4 linked regions of the Drosophila melanogaster genome follow. The protein of the gene in region 1 interacts with the protein of each later gene in a pairwise test. Each region holds a gene or a part of one and is shown in the gene's direction. Other genes may lie near its edges. The genes, in order: CG1418, ReepB, CG42597 and Dpm3.

Region 1 (4,809 bases):
CCCAGGCGCACACGTGCCACGTAGAAGTCATTCACATTCAAACAATGGGCTGCCGTCAGCACATAGCGACTGGCGATCAAGGAGCCCGCACACATGGGAGACGGTCGCTGCTTTGCTGTGTAGGCTTCGTAACCCAGCAGGACTGTCCAGGGAAACTGGTTGGACTGTGCCTCCATGCCGCCTACGATATATGACGAAGGAGGACTCTGTCCGCAGACCCTGCTATCTGGTAGTTTATCCCCTGCAACCATCGGGCAGCAGGTAAAAACCATGTGCACTAGCTCGTGGGCAAAAGGATTAATGTTGCATAGTTTGTTCCGGTACTGTGATTTTTGATCGTTTGTCATGTTCCGGGGATGTAGAATCTTCATAAGAGGTTCACATTTGCTCAGTGGGATGCAAATCTCGTCTAGTCGGCAAAAATTGAATTTTGCTAAGGGGGGTAACAAAAATTGACCAATTAATGGAGCTCAAAATGGCCGAAAATAGCATTTGTAACACTGTATGAAATCCTATTAAAGATTGCATTTTCCTGGTAAGACTATAGTTTTGTGTAGCGAAATCAACCCAATGAAGTTCCAATTTTGTAATTATAAGGTATTAATTATTGTTGAGACCAAAAATAGATCCGTGAGCTGCCAAAGTATATATTTAACACTGACACTGATCCGATGAAATTGTAGATATGTATATTGTATTGTAGTTGCCACTATTTACCAAATTGGAAAGAATTCGCCAAGGAAATCGCTTGAAGCAAAAGTGCCAAATAAAAATGGATCGAGACCATCTTGAAATGTCAAAGCCTAACCGAATACTGAATTCAAAAGCCAGTTGGTCTTAAAAGTTCAAGCTTATCTCGATTGCTAAAATGATTCATGGCACGATGTCCAATCCACAACTTTCCTTGGGTTAATTATAATGGCCTGCCTGTCCGTCCGTATGAATGTCGAGATGTCGGAAACATTAAGAGTAAGGAAGCATGTAAGTTTTCTTTAAAACCGTGCCACGCCCCTGTTACGCCCTAAACTCCTAAAACGCTCACATCCTAAAAGTCTTCTGGATACCAGGAAACGTTCAAATCCTACTACTTTTAAACATATCAAAACTGTAGTAATAGATTGATCAGAGCTATATCCTTGCTACACGCCAAATTATTCAAATTCTACATATCCATATGTTGCAGGTTCATAAACTGAGTAACAGGTATCTAACAGTCGCAACACTCGAATACATTCACAGGTTTTTTGGAAATGAAGGACACCATCACCCTGATACCGCGTGACTAGAACGAGATTTATTTTTTACTTTCTCCACAATCCCAAAATACCGTTGAACAAAAAGATGATAATCAATTTCCATCTCCGTAAACAAATATAAATCCATTCTGAATATTTCAAGACACAATTTTTTTAAGTTAAAATCAAAAATCTGATTCATACCGGAACTGTGAAAAAATACTTATCACTTGTGTCACACCAGCAATATGTTATGACGTCAAAAATCCATATCTGTAAATATATCTAAGTTAGAACTTTTATTATATAGTCTATATTCATAATGGTAATGCAAATGAAAACTCTCTTAACTTCTAAAACTCTTTGTTGGTAAATGTAAATAGAAATGTAACATTTAACCTGAGTGTGTATACAAGATACAAGAAATATAAGATATGTATGTATTAGCCAGAAGACCTGAGAAAAATTTAATGGATGTTGTGTTATCCGTCAAATAAATTGTTCAAAAAATATTTAAAATATCAGCGCGATTCTTACCTGTTACTTGTAAAGCAACGCAGACTCTTAAAATTTCTTTCGTTACGCCTACTTATATAAAAGGAAATTAAAAGAATTGCTTAATATGTTTGCTTTGTTTGGCCTTGTTAAAAGAAATAATAAGTAATTCTGTGATGAAAACATTTTTAAGCAGAGAGAACTATATAGTCCAGTTCCTCGACTATCAGATACCAATTACTCAGCTGGTGGAAAAGTTCAACATTCATTTTGGCTTATCTATACAAATTGGAAAAAAAAATAATAAGATGAAAAATAGGCAAGTAACTTTTTAAAAGTGTGGGTTTGGTTTGGTTTGGGCGCATCCAACATATCTTTTGCCATACTGATAACAAATAGTAAAATTAAAAAATGTCTACACATAAAAGTGAAGACGTAGCAGATTTCAGTGTTAAAATGGGCGTGGTAAAAGGTTTTTGGCATAGCTCTAGAAATTGGCAAGACAAGTAATAAAATGAAAAAAAATCGATTCATTTTTTTAAATTGTGGCGTTGCATCATCAGAAAGAAACTGAATTTCTAATCTTAACTTTCTAGCTTTAATAGTTCAAGTTAATAGACAAGGATATCAAAAATATATACATTTTTAAACGAATCTAGTATAACCATCTACTACACGAGTAATAGGTAGAAAAATATAATTGTTTTGTGTAAAAATATCATTAAAAAATAATTCAAATGTTTAGAGAAAAAGTTTTGTATTAAATGTTTGATTGCATTCAGCGCTTTGGATTTGTTTTCAGTTGATTTCGAGAATTTGCGCACTCGCAACTCTGGCCACACCGCACGTCACGGCAACGGCAATCCTAGAACTATCTGCCACATCAGATTTTTCAAACTTTGTATACTGTTTCTCAAAAGAAAACGATGTCATAGCAAATTAAGAGTGAATCGTAAAATCAACATCGAAAGTGTTGCCGCCTCCATGTAGAAGTGACCCCGCTAAAGTCCTCGCCGCTTTACAAACGCCGCAGCATCCTCAAGACAGTTCTTGGACCAAGTGGAACGAATCCAAAGATACACATAACACTTGTGGAACGCCCACACTTGTCGAAAGAAGAATTGTAGATTGCAGCGAAGACGTGTATCTAAGATAAGTGTTAGGACGAGGTTGGGAAAGCACAAGCAAAATGGCACACACTGGCGGGAACCTATCCGGTAACATGCAGCCGCCACCGCCTTCCGGAGGCAGGTTCTCCGTGGACATGCAAAGGTGAGTAAACCGTAACAAGGAGCGAATAGCTAATTACTCTTGAACCCTGCAGCCTGCCCTCGCTATCCAACCTGCCATCACCGCTGCAGATCTTCCAAATGGTCCGAAACTCCCTGCGGCCCTGGGTAGTCTTCTTCAACATCAACAATTTCAAAACGGCCATCAGCATGCAGCGGCTAAATAGCCGGGTTATTCGGAATCTCTCCTATTTTCAGGCCAACTACGTTTTCATCTTTTTTGTACTGATGATATACTGCCTGTAAGTGATTCTAAAAACCTTATTGCACCCCATTTAATAGTTATAATCTTAAGCATCACGGCTCCCTGCATTCTGCTGGTCATCCTGGCTTCCGCTTTTGGCTGCCATAAGCTGCGCGTGCGCAACAGTAACATTACCATCGTGGGACAACAACTGACGCCCAGCCAGCAGATCATCGCACTCAATCTGGCGACGGCACCAGTGCTATTCCTGGTGGGCGCGGGTGCGGTTTTGTTTTGGACGCTGGGTGCTTCATGCTTCGTGATTGCTATGCATGCTATATTCTACAACATCGATGCTATTGTAACGGAGGAGAATGAGGGTTTCCTCGCCCAGGTTGTCTGACCGCCAGCCAGAAGCTAAACCCTAGGTCTTCTGGGATCGTGGCAACCAGGGACGAGGAAAGGGGCTAAACATATTCGCCACTATGGGGCCTTGCAAGTCGACACAATATGTTGTACACCTATTTATAACGAAATCTAGTTAAGCCGCAGACTTTAAATAATCGAAATACACACTATGACAGATTCATACGACTATATTCTTTTTGGCAAATTAATCGCAATATATGAGGCGCATTCGCTGAGAACTTCGATTTAATTCGAAAAAAAAAATTAATTTAAAGGATGTGGTCAAGTCATTGGACTCTGTGGCACTTACAATATTTCAGATATTTTCGAGCTCTTTAGAGGCATGCGTTTTAAAAATGTATTCTTTTAAATAAAGAATAAATATAAGTAACCGGAAAAAAATCGCATAGTCGGTTCTCCAAAAGAAGTTTCCATAAATAAGCTGTTTAAAATACATTGAACAAACGGCTCAATAAATCAACTAGAAATACACCACGATCGGAATTCTCTGCGATATGCACCACAAGGAAGGTAAATAAAGTTACCTAAAGTACACACATATACATAGCTCGCGTAAAACTAAGTCGGTATTTCAATGAGGTACAGGTAGTTAGAACTAGGAATGCTTTGTTAGCTGCGTAAGTCTTGGTCCTTCGCCTAGGCGTACTGGGCACTCGCCAGTGTCTTCGTCTCCTGCTCCTCGTCGCTGGCCTGCTGGTCCAGCTTCTCGAATCCGTTGCGATCCCGATCGAGAAGTCCGCCCAGCTTGAAGCCATCGCTTTTCTCCCACGCGTGGCGACGACCGCGTGCTCCGAAAGGCAGGCAACCTGTGGGATATGTTGGTACAACTGATTAACTAACAATTACCATGGGATTTATATGAGCAATAACACTAGTCACCCCATTCCCTTCTTAGTTCATGCATAGATCTGCGATCTGGCGTGCACTGGAACAAACCAAAAACGAAAACAGAATACACTTAAGGATAAACGTAAATTTTGTTTGTATGCTTATGTATTTTGTATAAAAAGTTGTATATAATTTGTATATAAATGCGGTATAAATTTTAATTACAATAAAGTTGAACGAAAAGTAAGCCAACGAATACAGAACACACAAGAAGTGGACATGCTGTGTAATTAACGACACCAAAAAAAGCGTAAATAGGGAGATTCAATTGTGGATACAAATGTAAACA
Region 2 (6,071 bases), 4.2 Mb from region 1:
ATACACCCATGCCGTAGAGAAGGGTTGGGTCCACAACAACAAGGGCGAGATCTCATTCGCAAAGGGCATGTTCTGGGGCGCTTTGGGCGGCGTTGTGGGTTCCTATTGTGCCAGTCCCTTCTTCCTGGTAAGCGATTATGTAAATCAAACACTGAAGGTGTCTGCTTCCGCGAATATGTGACAATGTCTAGCCGTGATAAGATAAGGCATCACTGATAGCTACATTTCCATTCTAGATCAAGACGCAACTTCAGGCACAGGCAGCCAAGCAGATCGCCGTTGGTTATCAGCATCAGCACGCCTCGATGAGCGATGCGATTAGGAAGATATACAGGAAGAACGGCGTCTTTGGACTCTGGCGAGGATCGTTGGCGAATGTGAGCCGTGCCACTGTTGCGTCCGCCGTTCAAATCGCAGTTTTTGGCCAGGCCAAGAGTTTGTTGAAGGAAAACGGAGTGGTAACTCATCCCACAATCCTGTCCTTTTGCTCTGGCTTAGCCGCTGGGTCATTTGTCTCGCTGGCAATCACTCCATTGGATGTGGTTACCACTCGTCTTTACAATCAGGGAGTTGATGCCCAAGGTCGTGGCATTTACTACAGGGGCTGGTTGGATTGTGTGCTTACGATCCTAAGATCGGAGGGTGTATATGGGTTGTACAAGGGCTTTTGGCCCATTTATCTGAGGAGTGCTCCATATTCCACGTTGGTGCTTTTGTTCTTTGACGAACTAATTGCGCTGAGGGAAAAGTACGATCTTCACTACTAAACGAAAATTATTTAACACGAGCGGGGCTCTTTGAAATGCAAAACCATACGAAGTTGTTTTACTTTCGTTAGCTTAGTATTTGGAAGTTACGTTCTAGTAGCATATCCGTTTCCCGGATATTTCATCAAAATAACAATTTCAATTTGATCCTCTGAAGAGGGTAAGTAAAGATTTAAACAAGTTAAAAGAGAAAATAAAAATGTATTTATTTATATTTTATTCTTTGGCTACGAGCGTGGTTAAGTAAAGTCCTTATAATCCATTCTTAACCGTCCGCGAAATTATCGATATCCATACGTGTAACTATCGATAAATTAATGTTGATATTTAACAAGCAATAATAAATGTATTATGACCTTTTCTCAAAGTGATTTATTTGTTTTGGTCACTAATTAATAATTCAATAAGAATTTTACCAATATTTTTGAATAAAAAATTCATTAATTACAAATACTAATTTCTTTCTTAAGCGAATTTTAATTTTTAAACACCAAATACAAGAGTTCAAATATTTAAATTATTCCGCCAAGTGAGCATTTAAATCATTAAAGCATTAAAATGTATGCCATTAATTCGATAAATGTAACAATCGGTCTGTCGACCAAAGAGTAAACAAAATGTTAACGTAAGATCAACCAAATCCAAAGTTTGGGGTGAAAACATGACCAAGTCGGATTTCGTGCTGGGCGGAACGGCAGCGATGGGTGCGGTGGTGTTCACCAATCCCATCGATGTGGTCAAGACGCGGATGCAGCTGCAGGGAGAGTTGGCTGCCCGAGGAACCTATGTGAAGCCCTACAGGCATCTCCCCCAGGCCATGCTGCAGATAGTCCTCAACGACGGACTCCTTGCTTTGGAGAAGGGTCTCGCTCCGGCATTATGTTATCAATTTGTCCTCAACTCGGTCAGGCAAGTGCATTGTAAAGGACACTTGTTGCCATCCATAAACATCAAAATCTTTGAACTTTATACGAATATTAGAGGTAGATTTAAACAAAGTTTATATAAAAGTGGCCGTAAAATTATGCAATGCTAAGTAGTGTAATTACAAGCACCATGAATTAATGTGAAATGCATGCTTATCTTATCTAACACTGTGAAGTAATGGACATTTAAGATAAGTCGTTACGTTCATCATTGAAAATAGTTACCCTAAGCAAATTGCAGTGTAAATACCCTTTCCTTATGGTAGGCTAAGTGTATATTCGAACGCATTGGAGCTGGGATACTTGCAGAATGCGGATGGCTCCATATCCTTCTATCGGGGCATGTTCTTTGGAGCTCTGGGCGGCTGCACGGGCACCTATTTCGCCAGCCCCTTCTACATGGTGAGTAGATCCGCTAGAGCTTCCCATCTGATCTCCCTCCATTACAGATAAAGGCCCAACAGCATGCCCAGGCGGTTCAGTCCATTGCCGTAGGCTTTCAGCACAAGCATACTTCGATGATGGATGCCCTGCTGCATATTTACCGGACCAATGGCATTTCAGGATTCTGGCGCGCTGCTTTACCAAGCTTGAACCGAACGCTTGTGGCCTCCAGTGTACAGATCGGCACCTTTCCCAAAGCCAAGTCCCTTCTGAAGGATAAAGGCTGGATCACCCATCCGGTTCTCCTCTCCTTCTGTGCCGGCCTATCGTCGGGAACCCTTGTGGCAGTGGCCAATTCGCCCTTTGATGTGCTCACCACACGGATGTACAACCAGCCAGTGGATGAAAAGGGGCGTGGACTCATGTACAAGGGCTTGGTGGACTGTTTCACTAAAATCTGGAGAACCGAAGGGATCCATGGGATGTACAAGGGCTTTTGGCCCATATACTTTCGTAGTGCTCCACACACCACCTTGACATTTGTGTTTTTTGAAAAGTTGCTCCATTTGCGAGATCGTTATGTTTTCTCCCAGCGCAGAAACTGAAGAGTCCAGTCCTCATGGAGCCAACTAGATTACTGTAAATCCTCGCATACAATTGTTAAGTCCCACGATGTGACAATCCTAAAATTTATAATTTTATAAATAATAAAATTGTTCATCAAAAATGATCCCATGAGTTTACCATTGAATGCACGTCAACTGCTATAAGTTTTTTTTCTTATGTAATTTGCTGCATAACATATTTACCTTTCTAATAAAAGCTTAAAATAATTATTTGCTGTTTGCAAATATTTACTGTGAAAAAGAAAAAGCCGCCAGTATTGCAATTTTAGTATGACCTCTCCTTATCGATAGGCGGCGATAGATGCGAACAATAACGCATCATGTCTTCGATTGTCAATAGTCCATTTGGCACCGATAGGCGCAAGCACAAACTATCGACTGGCATCTGGAAAGTCGGCGGCGTCACATATTTTTGATTGACTATATATATTTAAAAACAATTTGCGCAAAATGGCCACTCAGGTGAAGCAGTTCTTAAACGGCTACAAGGATGACGTGAGCAAATCGCTGCGCGATGCTTCCAAGCCGTGGACCAAAGTCTTCGATACCGTGGAGGAGAAGACCGGCGTGGACCGGGTCAATATTTTCGTGGGTGAGTGTGGAATATCCTGGCGACGTCATCGCATGTCCTTCGCCGAAACGCCCATGTAACCTTCTGCTAGTTGACTGCGTAACCATTGAGATTAGCCTAGAGATGCAGTGGAATATTTCGGGATGCTTATAAATAGCAACCTGTTATATATAGCAATGTGTATGTGGCTGAATCAGGATGGTCGGGGGGGCTTAATAGCCGCCAGGTGACCAATTAACGAATTAAACAGACGACTTAAACGGCAAAGCCCAATTAAATAGTGTGTCTATATTATCACCGAGTGCCTGCAACCAATACACCTCAGTTTGTGAGCATGCGATGTGTGCGTGTAAGCGACTACGTAGACAGCTGGCGATGTGTGCGTCTGTTATCCACAAAAGTTTCATGTTTTGTGCTTTTCTTTGTTTACTTCAACGAAAGTACACTTTTTTTTGCCCAGTACGCGGTGAGCAATACATTTGGCGCATTCCATTGCCATATTCTCTAGACGAAGATCTGGAGAAAGTCCAGTTCGGCGGGGTCAAAAGGTCTGAATTATTGAGACGTGGCGCTGTCGGCACACGTGGAGCCAATCTACTCACTCACCTGTGTGCGTTGGTAGAGCTTTCAGTTCGTTCGTTCGGTGCTCACCGGAGTTACCGATGTGGCTCTGGGACTATATTATGCTAATCAGACAGCGACAGGAGACGCGGCGCAATGTCAGAGTTCCCTTGGTTTACCTCGGCATAGGTGAGAATGTGGTCATAATGGCAAAAGTAGCTATCTTTCAAAACCGAAGTCTATATACACTTGCAAAAATGACGGACGTTGATTCATCATACAAACATTTGGCCTCATTAGCTGTTCAACAGTTCGGCATACTTTAATAATCAAAACAAATTGTGTAAACAAATATATGCATATTAGGGAACAACCATTTATGGAGAATTCGCAATTCACATCAAATGATCTGATCGACTAAGGATATAGTTTCTGTGGCTTGTAATGAAACCCACCTTTTTGCAATGATGTTGCTCAAATTAAAGTACCCTCAGCCAGGGTATAAATATAATTAGCCGCCATCGAGCATGAATGACATCATAAATTTATGGCAAAACAACAGGCCGTAGTCCGCTCATCTGGGTGGGCAAAATGCAACTGGCCGGGATCAGAGGCAGGTCGAGACATCTACTGACAACAGCTAAGGGTTTATAATTAGCCAACGGCATGGGGCGGTTTAAAAACCCCAGGGATCCACGAAGGGGCGCCCTTGAAAGCTGTACGAGCACCTGGCACTGTGCCCTTGGAACAGTTAGTCTTGTAGCTAAAGTTTGTAAGTGTTAACTCCATCTGATCACCCTGCGCCCTGTGGAACCGCTCCTGCCCTTGGACCTGCTTATAGCCATAAGGGAAAATGCGCCACTAGGGCAATATCAATTGACCAACTAGATGGCGAACATGGCAGTCGAGGAATTAGAGAGCAAAATTGTCCAACTGTTCGTAGAGAACCCCCTCCTGCGCTACGGTAGAGCTCCAGCAGTGACTTAATGCTATTTACTAATAAGGTATTATATTTCATCATATGTAGGTGCTGTTGGTCTGTGCGCCATCTACCTGATCTTTGGCTGGGGCGCCCAACTACTGTGCAACATCATTGGGGTTCTGTACCCTGCATATATTTCCATCCATGCCATCGAGTCCAGCACAAAGCAGGACGACACCAAGTGGCTGATCTACTGGGTCACGTTTGGAATCTTCACCGTGATTGAATTCTTTTCGAGTCTGCTAACTTCGGTGATTCCCTTTTACTGGCTGCTGAAGGTGAGCTTTGCATTCTTCACATATAAGAATCTTCTTTTAAATGCTTCAACTCCACATGTAGTGTGCTTTCCTCATCTGGTGCATGCTGCCCACGGAACAGAATGGTTCTACCATCATCTACAACAAGCTGGTGCGACCCTACTTCCTGAAACATCACGAATGTGAGTAAATTCACCTCTTAGATATTGCAATTTTACTAAAAGGAGATCAATATTTGCACACAGCCGTTGACAGGATCATCGATGATGGCATGAAGAAAGCCGCTGGAGTGCTGAAGCATGACTAGAAGGCGAATGTACCGTAGCTCCGACCGCTTCTCGCTTATCCATGCATTTGGTTTTGGGCCTGGTCACCAACCTCACCTCGTATTGGTTACGTTTTGCAATAAATTTTAATTCTGTATTCATTTTGTTGTTGATAAGAGCACCAGTGTTCGCTGAACCAGAAGAAATCTCCGTTTGTTAAACGTAAAAACGAAAAGGAGGCTTTTATTGAGGCACAACTATATTTATGCGGTTGATTCCGCCTTTTCTGGCGACGCCTCCGCTTCAGCAGCTGTCCTCCGGTTCCGCCAGGCGGTCATGTAGGTGCGCGGGTGGATGGGCAGTAGTCCGGCAATTCCCAGGAGTTCTGCAGCCGGCGTGGACAAGTGTGCACCTTTGCCCAGCCAATAGCGAATTCTCTCCGTGTTCAGGGCCACCAGTCGTTCGTTGTAATCGTTGGGCAGGGGATCAAAGGAGCCCACCTGCTCGATGACAGGCTGGTGCTGGTTCTTGCGCCTCTAAACCGGAAAATACAATTACCAATTAAAAGTTTTAACCATTTTAATGGCCTAAAAGTACGCACCTCCATGACGACAATGTGATAAAAAGGCCGATTGGTGCATCCCAGGCGTACGAAACGTATGATTTTTGCCGACTTGGCGTAGAAACGACCAATGCCACTGGCTGGCGATAGAGACATCCCGATATTTTAT
Region 3 (4,409 bases), on another chromosome or scaffold:
AGTAAAAGGGTATACTAGATTCGTTGAAAAGTATGTAACAGGCAGAATGATGCGTTTCCGACCATATGAAGTATATATATTCTTGATCAGGATCAATAGCCGAGTCGATCTAGCCATGTCCGTCTGTCCGTCTGTTGGTATGAACGTCGAGATCTCAGGATTTATAAAAACGAGAAGGTTGGGATTCAACAACAGATTCTAGAGACAAAGACGCAGTGCAAGTTTGTTGACTCATGTTGCCACTTAACTGTAACCGCACAAAACTGCCACGCCCACACTTTTTCTATCGTTTTGCAAAAAAAAAATATATATTTAAATAATAAATAAACCGTCCAAAACTGCCGGGCCCATATTTTTGAATTTTTTTTGGATATTTTTTCATAATTTAATTAGTCTTCTTAATTTCTATCGATTTGCCAAAAAACTTTTTTCCACTCCAACTTTAGCGCCTTAAATTCGGCAAAATTATTCGATATTTGTTCATAATTTTATAAGTTGCTTAAATTTCCATCGATTTGTCAAAAAACATTTTCCACGTATAATCTAACGCCCTAAAGCCGCCAAACCGGTCACGCCCACACTTTTGAACAATTTTTAATGTGTTCTCATTTTATTCCCCAATATCTATCAATATCCCAGAAAAATTATGAAATTTCGCGTTTGTATTCACACTAGCTGAGTAATGGGTATCTGATGGTCGGGGAAGTCGACTATAGCATTCTATCTTCTTTTTTGCATATTGTTCCAAAAAAGTATTAAAATATCTCGTTCATACTTTTAGCTGAGTACCGGGTATCGATATACCAAAAACATATTGGGCACACCCACTCTAACGTCACACCCACTCGGCGTCCACCATAACGCCTACAATCCACAGAAAAGCCGCAGCGGCCACAATTTTCGAAAATGTTATAAGTTTATTATTTTTTTATGTTTCTTGGTTAAAATTTGGAAGCGTTGTCATTAAGCGTTGGTGAAGTGCATCGATGGCGTAGATTGGTTCCCAACCACAACAAGAATTCCTTTTGTGTAATTGGCTGATTTGAAACCACGTCTATACGTGAATAACGCTTTTCGGAACCGCACCTCAAGACCAGGATCAGATTGGTACGCTTACCGTCTACCCGGTAGTCCTTACTGTCCTGATGCAGAGCAATAGTTTCGTAGATGGAGTAGACTTTTCCAACATTTAGCCGCACAAAGGATCCAATCACAGCCTCCGCGAAAATAGGTTTACCCAGTAAGTTCTTTATGTCGTTCCGTTTTAACACTGCTCGACTCAGCTGTTCCAGGTTGGATACGCGTTCATCGCTTTCAACGTTCGTTTGCGGATCGTTTTGGGCTGTATTCTCGCTCTCACTGTTAGGCGAGGAATCGCCGGAATAAGTCTCTTTGACCTCGATATTTACATCCTTACGCGTTTGTGCCTTGCAATCATCACTAGACTTCGTCTGCTCTGCACTGTCTTCGGAACATTTTCCCTTGCTCAATTTAATGGTGCGAATTGCCAATAATCGCTCAAAAGCATGTGCTGTTTTGCCACCAGACTCCAGTTTATTTGCGATCTTACGTCTTGTCCGTAAGCGCTCAACCATTTTTTTATACTTTTACTCTACGAATATCGGGTATAAAAAGTTTAATTGTAAATTCGATGAATTATTCAAAAATGCGAATCATAGGTAGGCCTCAGCAGGAATCATATTTATATGAACTTTTTTTTAATACTAAAACTACCGGATATTCAACTGGCAGTTTTTGTAATATTACAAATATGTTAAATTCTCGCAGCTGTTCAGTGTTCCTCATTCAATTTGCTTCGCTCGACATCGGCAAATATGAGTTTTGATATTGGAATTTTTGGTGGCGGCTGTTCAATAAGCACAAAAAACCGTAATAAGCTAGAATCCACGACAGGTGACTGAGTTAGCAGGAGAAAAAAAATATGCGCACACAAAAGCGAACCATTTTGTGTGGGTCTGGCGAGCAGTACGCGTATTCTTATTTGGCTAAATGACAAAACTTCATCAAAGTGAGCTTACGACTTCCTTGCTTTGATAAAAATTCCAATTTCTTTTTAGTGATGTTGGCTTTTGGCCGGACTTCCATTGGATATCTAATTGGAATTTAAAATGGCGGCACAATTAAATGGTACTGCTATATAAATAATTCTACAGCAATTGTTTGCAAGAAACACTAATTTAAGTAAAATGCAAATGATTTCCGGTATTAGGAGCACGGAGTGGAGCCAGAAGTGGTGCTCCGCATTCGAGGTGAGTGCGTTGGGGATGTATCTTCTGGATATTGCATGAGATTCGTATCCCCTCCACCTAAGTTTTCAATTGCGATTCAGTTTCGTTTCCATGTTGCAACTATAGCAACGACGACGACGTCATACGATTAACGTGAGCTGCATATTTTCGGCTAATTTTCTAATTAAAATGATATTTATGCATTTTTTAGCTGACAGAATTAAACATTCAGTGCCAAAGCCAATTTTTACAGGCAAAGTGAACAATGAAGCACGTACTAACCTCTCGCATAAAGATATTGACATTACATATTACAAAAGATAAGGGAGTAGGTATAATCCGTTTTAAAAGGTAGTGGTAAAGGTAAGGTAGACTTCATAAAAATCAATCAATTTTTTATCTGCTTTAGTCTTCCACGAGTTCAGCTGGTTTTCAACTTTGAAGTCCCTAAAGTTTTCATTTAACTTGCCAACGCAATACAGGAATTATTCTCCGACCCAGCAAGCATTTTAAATTGAAACAAACAAAACAATGTGTTTTGTTTTTTTTACCTTATTCATTCTAAATTTGTGTAACTTATACATATTTACAAGACCGCGCAGGCAAGTCACTTCTAACGTCTATATACAGGCAATACCCGATAGTTAACCAATATCCCTTTCTAAGGAAATGACCAGTCCCACGCCTGTTCTATTGGCCTTCGTTGTGCACATGGTGCTCCACACAACGCTCTTCATACATCTAGATCCGGGTATAATTGCAGACACCCCCGTCTTTGGTAGCCAGTTATTCTATTTATCAGTGATGGATCTGCTGTGCGACACAGAGGTAATACCCACGCACTGGAGTAACATTCCGCGGTGGGGAAAGTTTATCCTTGAGACCATTATCGCCATCCTTATTGGCGAAACTTTGATGGTGGGCGTATGGCTTTCCATGGAAACGCTTCTCGTCAACTTTATAAATGTTATAACCAATTGGTTGGGCCTGGGCAGCCGTACAAACACTAATTTCCAGGAGATCGGCACGATTTTATTGGGAGTTATCTTTTTAGTGATAGTGGGTGCCATTACAAATCGACCGGCCAAAGTTTGGAAAATGGCACAACAGTCTTGGAGAATCATCACACAACAAAGTCGTCCTTCGTCCAAACAGAAATCTTTTAAATAAGCAAAAGGACCCACATCGTTTTCGGTTCCTTCTATTAATTTGGGATACCATTTCTAGTTTATGTGCACTTTTTTATTAAAAGGGTGCTCAAAAAAAAAAAATTGGTTATCTCTAATTTCAAGTACCCATCTCTTTGTTCTTTTAACAGTGAAATAGTCAAATATAGTCTTTGATATCTATGCACCCCAATGCTTAATGAAGCTCGATATTCACAAAAGGATGCGATGCACCTTTGTAAATGTTAGCATACGACCTTTACTTAAGAAGAACAACAGGTTTTTCTAATGTCTCGATTCGAAGCCATAGGGCAATTAAATATGTCACGGGTGGGAGCGGAAACTTGTAAGACATTTAACTGTTTGGGCGCGCTTAAATGGAATCTGAGTGAAATAATTACCGTTGGAGAAAATGATTTCGAACAAATCATGTCTTACGGTTATTATACAAAAGGACATCCGTGATCCCTTAGGCAAGAAAATTCGAGAAACATAAGCTGCAGTTGCGCTAAAGGTGTGGGTGTAATTAGTAACATTTGTGCCACCAAACAATTAACATAGAAAGTGGCTCGAACTCTGTGAAGAACACATGTGCGATTGACTCTCTCTTGGGCCATTATGTAATAAAAAGCGCTACTTATGTTTACTTAATGTATTGTATATCCTACAACACGAAACTCAAAAAATTTGAGATAAAAGAGAAAAGTTGAGTTTTTCAAACTAGTATTTTAGACCCTTTACTCAGATAGTTGGTGTGTGATTAAGAAAGTTCAATAGTATTTTTTGACATATCTATAGAAATTGTTCGGTTTTGTGGGCGTGTCTCTGGAACCTGCTTGCTTATTTCAAATTTCTAGCTTTTCAAGTTCCTGAGATCGAGGTGTTCCAACAGACAGACGGACGGACTGAAGGACATGACCAGATCGACTCGGCTGGTAATCCTGACCAAGAAAATATATAGTTTCTATGGTCAATACATACTCTGCGTACTTCA
Region 4 (3,769 bases), on another chromosome or scaffold:
TATCAGCTTTCTTATTCTTTTCACTTAATAAGTGCTGAGGTCGTGTTAAATTTTTACATTCATTCGCATTTATAAAATTATAAGTAATAAATCATTAAATAAAGATTCTTATCTTTGGATTTAGCAATGATAGGACTTAAATGTATTGCAACATTTGTTCTATTACCACATAGCTTAAGTTTCTCTGAGTGCACTTTGAGATTGAAGGCTAAGAACTTTAGGGCCTACCTGCACATCTTTAGTCTTCGGCAATCGTTTGAACCGCGCGGAACTGTCACTTAGCAGGTTCTCATTTGATAGCCATGTTGGTCGTCCTGCTCGCATTATTTTGTGCAGTCCAGGGCCAGGCATTGGTCCTCAAGGAGCTGCACACCCTGCATCAGTGGACGAACCTCAGTTTGGGCGACGATCTGTCCAAGGGCAATCGCTTTCTGCCGGTGGATGTGGACATTGAGTACGGCGATGAGGGCAGGCATCGCACCTTTCTCACGATTCCGCGACTGGGGATGGCCACACCCTTCACACTGGCCACCGTCATTGCGGAGCACAATGAGCTGGTGGAGAATCCCAGACTGGAACCGTATCCCAACGAGGAGTGGCACGTGCCACCCAACAATTGCTCCGGCATCACCTCAGCCATTAGGACTTATGTAAGTAATAAAGCATATTTTCCCAACAGAAGATATTTCATGAATATTTATCGTTTTCTCCCAGATCGACGAGTGCTGGCGACTCTGGGTGGTGGATTCAGGGCAGGTAAACTCCCTGCAGTTGTGCCCGCCACAAATTCTCACATTTGATTTGGTGAAGGACGAACTAGTCCAACGACACGCACTTCCGCCCGATTCCTACATTCCCAGCGTATCCATCTTCACGGCTTTGGTGGTGGATCTGGCCGAGAGGGGCACACCCAACCGATGTGTTGGCGGCAGAGCGTATATAGCCGATGCCTGGGGTTATGGTCTAATCGTGTTTGACTCCCTGACGGGACGATCCTGGCGCATAGAGCATGAGTCCATGAAGCCGTCGCCCTTGCTGAGATTAGGACGCTCCAGCAACTCGCAGGCGGGAATATTTACAGTGAGCCTCAGTCCCAGCGAAGTGGAAGGTAGCTATTCAATTTAAATTCTAAATACTCAAAAATTATTTATAATTTCCAATGCAAATTTACAGACCGCTTTCTGTACTTTCACACGCTGAACTCCTTTAATGAGATGAGGGTTCCGCTCTCCCTGATCAACAACGAGACCTTCTGGAAGTCTGCGAATGCCAGCAGGGATAGCTTCCACAGCCTGGGCACCCGAGGAATCCAGTGCGAATCGGAGGTGATGGATCAGTCGGGGAATCTCTACTGCAGCCTCATCAGTTTAGGGGCGCTGGTGAAATGGGAGGAGTCCGTGTCCAACTACACGGCGGATGACCTGCGTGTGGTGGCCTACAATCCGCACAAGATCAAGTTCGTCACGGGCCTCAAGATCAACAGGAATTCCAAGGGAGAGGAGGAGCTGTGGGCCTTGAGCAGCCAGCCGAAACTCTTTGTTGGCGGCGACTTGCCCGCGAACGAGGTCAAGTTCCAAATAATTGGCTGCCGAACCGCTGACCTGCTTGCCAACACGCCGTGTACAGTGGGCGCCGCAGAAACCACGCCCACCAACGTTTAATTAAAACTTAGTTTTAACAAGTTTGAAACTGCGTCAATCGATTACTCTGATTTAAATTGCTGGCTGTAGAAGGCTGGCTGTTATGGCGCAACTTTGATCTATCGATAAATTGCTGACTGTGTTTAGCTGAGTAGTATGGCATTTGATTTGCTGACTGTGGATAGCTTTGTGCTATGGCACGTGCTTAGGGCTTGGTCACACTTAAGTTAGCCAATTAGAAAAGTAAACAATGTCTAACTGGAAGCCGTCAGGCTACGAATTACTAATTAGAAAATCTCCAACTAGACATGAATAGGAAAACCTCTAACTAGATTTGAATAGGTAAACCTCCTATCGATAGTAGCCGGTAAATATCGATATCGAATTACCGGGTGACCATCGGCTTAAGTTCCAGCTCTATGTTTACGTGTAGAACTTTATTTTCGGTTTAGTTTTGTTTACCAATAAATTTCGTTAGCTATGACAAATCTACAACGCTGGCTATTTTACGCATCGCTCTTTGCGATTCCCTATCTCTCCGTTGTTTTGGGAACAGTGCAAACGCCACTAACTACCAAGTATTTCCTGCACATTCAGCTTTTACCACTTTTGCTCCTCGTGATTTTTGGAGTGAGTTTTTGGATATGAATCAATGCAGATAACACCTCTTATTGACTACTACTATATATTACCCACAGATATATTCCGTTTGGACTGTTCTATATAGAACTCTGACTTTTAACGATTGTCCCGAGGCCGCCAAGGAGCTGCAGGATGAAATTCAGGAGGCTCGCAAGGATTTGATAGCCAAGGGATTTCGGTTTCGAGATTAGGAGACTTCCAGCTCGTAGGACTTGTGCATGTTAATCTGTAATTCCATTATTTATAAAAACAAAAATTACGCAAATTTACTCTAGACCGCATTTTGTGTGGGCGGACGCGTTGTTGGGGGCTGATTTCCCCAGGTGTCGGAAGTTTGGTGGCCAAATTATGTTGAGGTTTTGAAAGGATATGCTTGAAAAAGTATGGAATATGTTTATGTTTAATTGGCTTAGCTCCCCTGTGAATTACTCAAAATAAAAAATATAAGAAAACTAAAAAAGTATATGAGGTAAAATACGTTTAAAGAGATTAATAATATTCTTTACGGAAAACATATTTTTACTTAATGAACATGGTATATGGAAAACTCGTAAGTGCGAACCATATATTGCAAATCCATGCTTTGGCTATCTATTTCCAATAAATCAATTTTTTTAAAATTCTCTTAATTACAATGCGAAAGAGAAAAAAATATACTGTTTCAAAACTTTAATTTTCTCTTCTGCAAAATACTGGAAGGAGTTATAATTGCGAAGCTGAATGTTGTGATACTCAAAAGATCCAATATAAACCGATTAATAGCCATTTGAAGTTAATTTGTGTAATTTTTTTTTTAATGGCGGACAATAGTTTGAAAATAGAAATAAATTTCAAGAAGATAATACATAGTTGATGATAAAAAAGATAGTACATTTATTTACTCATGGTTGGGCAGTCTGGAAATCGGCTTTCTAATGGCCGACTGGAACTGGAACGGCGGTTTAAGCGTCAAGCTCTCTACAACAATCAACAGTTCGCGCTCAGCCACCGAACCGCTAACAACACGACCGCCGTTCGTTACGTGCTGGCTATATAACTGCATTTATAAGAAATTCTGAAGAACGAGAAGCCTGAAGATGAGTCACAAAATCGCCGCTGTGTGCCTCTTGATGAGCTGCCTGATTGCCACGGCTTATAGTGCCGCTAAGGTGAGTTTCCGGCTCGGAAAAACCCTTCGCCAAACTAGCGAAAAATCAGCCAACGGGGCCAACTAAGCCATTACACAACAGCCAAGCGTGTCAGGGGCACTCCGAATTGCTTTTACCATTTAGGTGAAGACGTGATTAAGTCGAATAACTAAATAGTGGGGGTATAGGAATACAAAAATGCAAAATAAAAAAATCCATAAAAGAGCTGCACCCTTTTCGTGGCAGCAACAAGTGGCATTTCGAGAGTTTAACGAACTGTGCCACACGTCGTAGTCGTCGGATCGGAAAATGCCGCCACCGTGGAAAAGCGTAGAGCATAATTGACAATATAAATGCATG

Evidence for each region.
Region 2: the proteins of CG1418 (region 1) and ReepB interact in a two-hybrid assay, tested with the Drosophila melanogaster proteins (one large-scale study listed by BioGRID).
Region 3: the proteins of CG1418 (region 1) and CG42597 interact in a two-hybrid assay, tested with the Drosophila melanogaster proteins (one large-scale study listed by BioGRID).
Region 4: the proteins of CG1418 (region 1) and Dpm3 interact in a two-hybrid assay, tested with the Drosophila melanogaster proteins (one large-scale study listed by BioGRID).

The regions. Positions count from the first base shown.
Region 1 is NT_033778.4:9,962,827-9,967,635, reverse strand, and holds CG1418 (uncharacterized protein), read left to right. Parts: upstream 1-2,568; 5' UTR 2,569-2,919; coding exon 2,920-3,002; intron 3,003-3,054; coding exon 3,055-3,261; intron 3,262-3,314; coding exon 3,315-3,606; 3' UTR 3,607-3,801; downstream 3,802-4,809. Other genes in the region: CG12133 (uncharacterized protein), read right to left, coding at 1-371; Pal1 (Peptidyl-alpha-hydroxyglycine-alpha-amidating lyase 1), read right to left, coding at 4,269-4,438.
Region 2 is NT_033778.4:14,167,428-14,173,498, forward strand, and holds ReepB (receptor expression enhancing protein B), read left to right. Parts: upstream 1-3,034; 5' UTR 3,035-3,153; coding exon 3,154-3,295; exon of another isoform or gene 3,296-3,490; intron 3,491-3,732; exon of another isoform or gene 3,733-3,936; coding exon of another isoform or gene 3,937-4,024; intron 4,025-4,361; exon of another isoform or gene 4,362-4,732; coding exon of another isoform or gene 4,733-4,799; intron 4,800-4,862; coding exon 4,863-5,095; intron 5,096-5,156; coding exon 5,157-5,256; intron 5,257-5,319; coding exon 5,320-5,381; 3' UTR 5,382-5,571; downstream 5,572-6,071. Other genes in the region: CG18327 (uncharacterized protein), read left to right, coding at 1-127, 237-767; CG18324 (uncharacterized protein), read left to right, coding at 1,429-1,676, 1,960-2,095, 2,143-2,682; mRpS16 (mitochondrial ribosomal protein S16), read right to left, coding at 5,604-5,876, 5,942-6,058.
Region 3 is NT_033779.5:22,063,703-22,068,111, reverse strand, and holds CG42597 (uncharacterized protein), read left to right. Parts: upstream 1-2,768; 5' UTR 2,769-2,851; intron 2,852-2,915; 5' UTR 2,916-2,918; coding exon 2,919-3,419; 3' UTR 3,420-3,508; downstream 3,509-4,409.
Region 4 is NT_033777.3:13,401,340-13,405,108, reverse strand, and holds Dpm3 (Dolichyl-phosphate mannosyltransferase subunit 3), read left to right. Parts: upstream 1-2,057; 5' UTR 2,058-2,120; coding exon 2,121-2,270; intron 2,271-2,338; coding exon 2,339-2,473; 3' UTR 2,474-2,550; downstream 2,551-3,769. Other genes in the region: yellow-e3, read left to right, coding at 303-650, 715-1,108, 1,174-1,661; GILT1 (Gamma-interferon-inducible lysosomal thiol reductase 1), read left to right, coding at 3,359-3,430.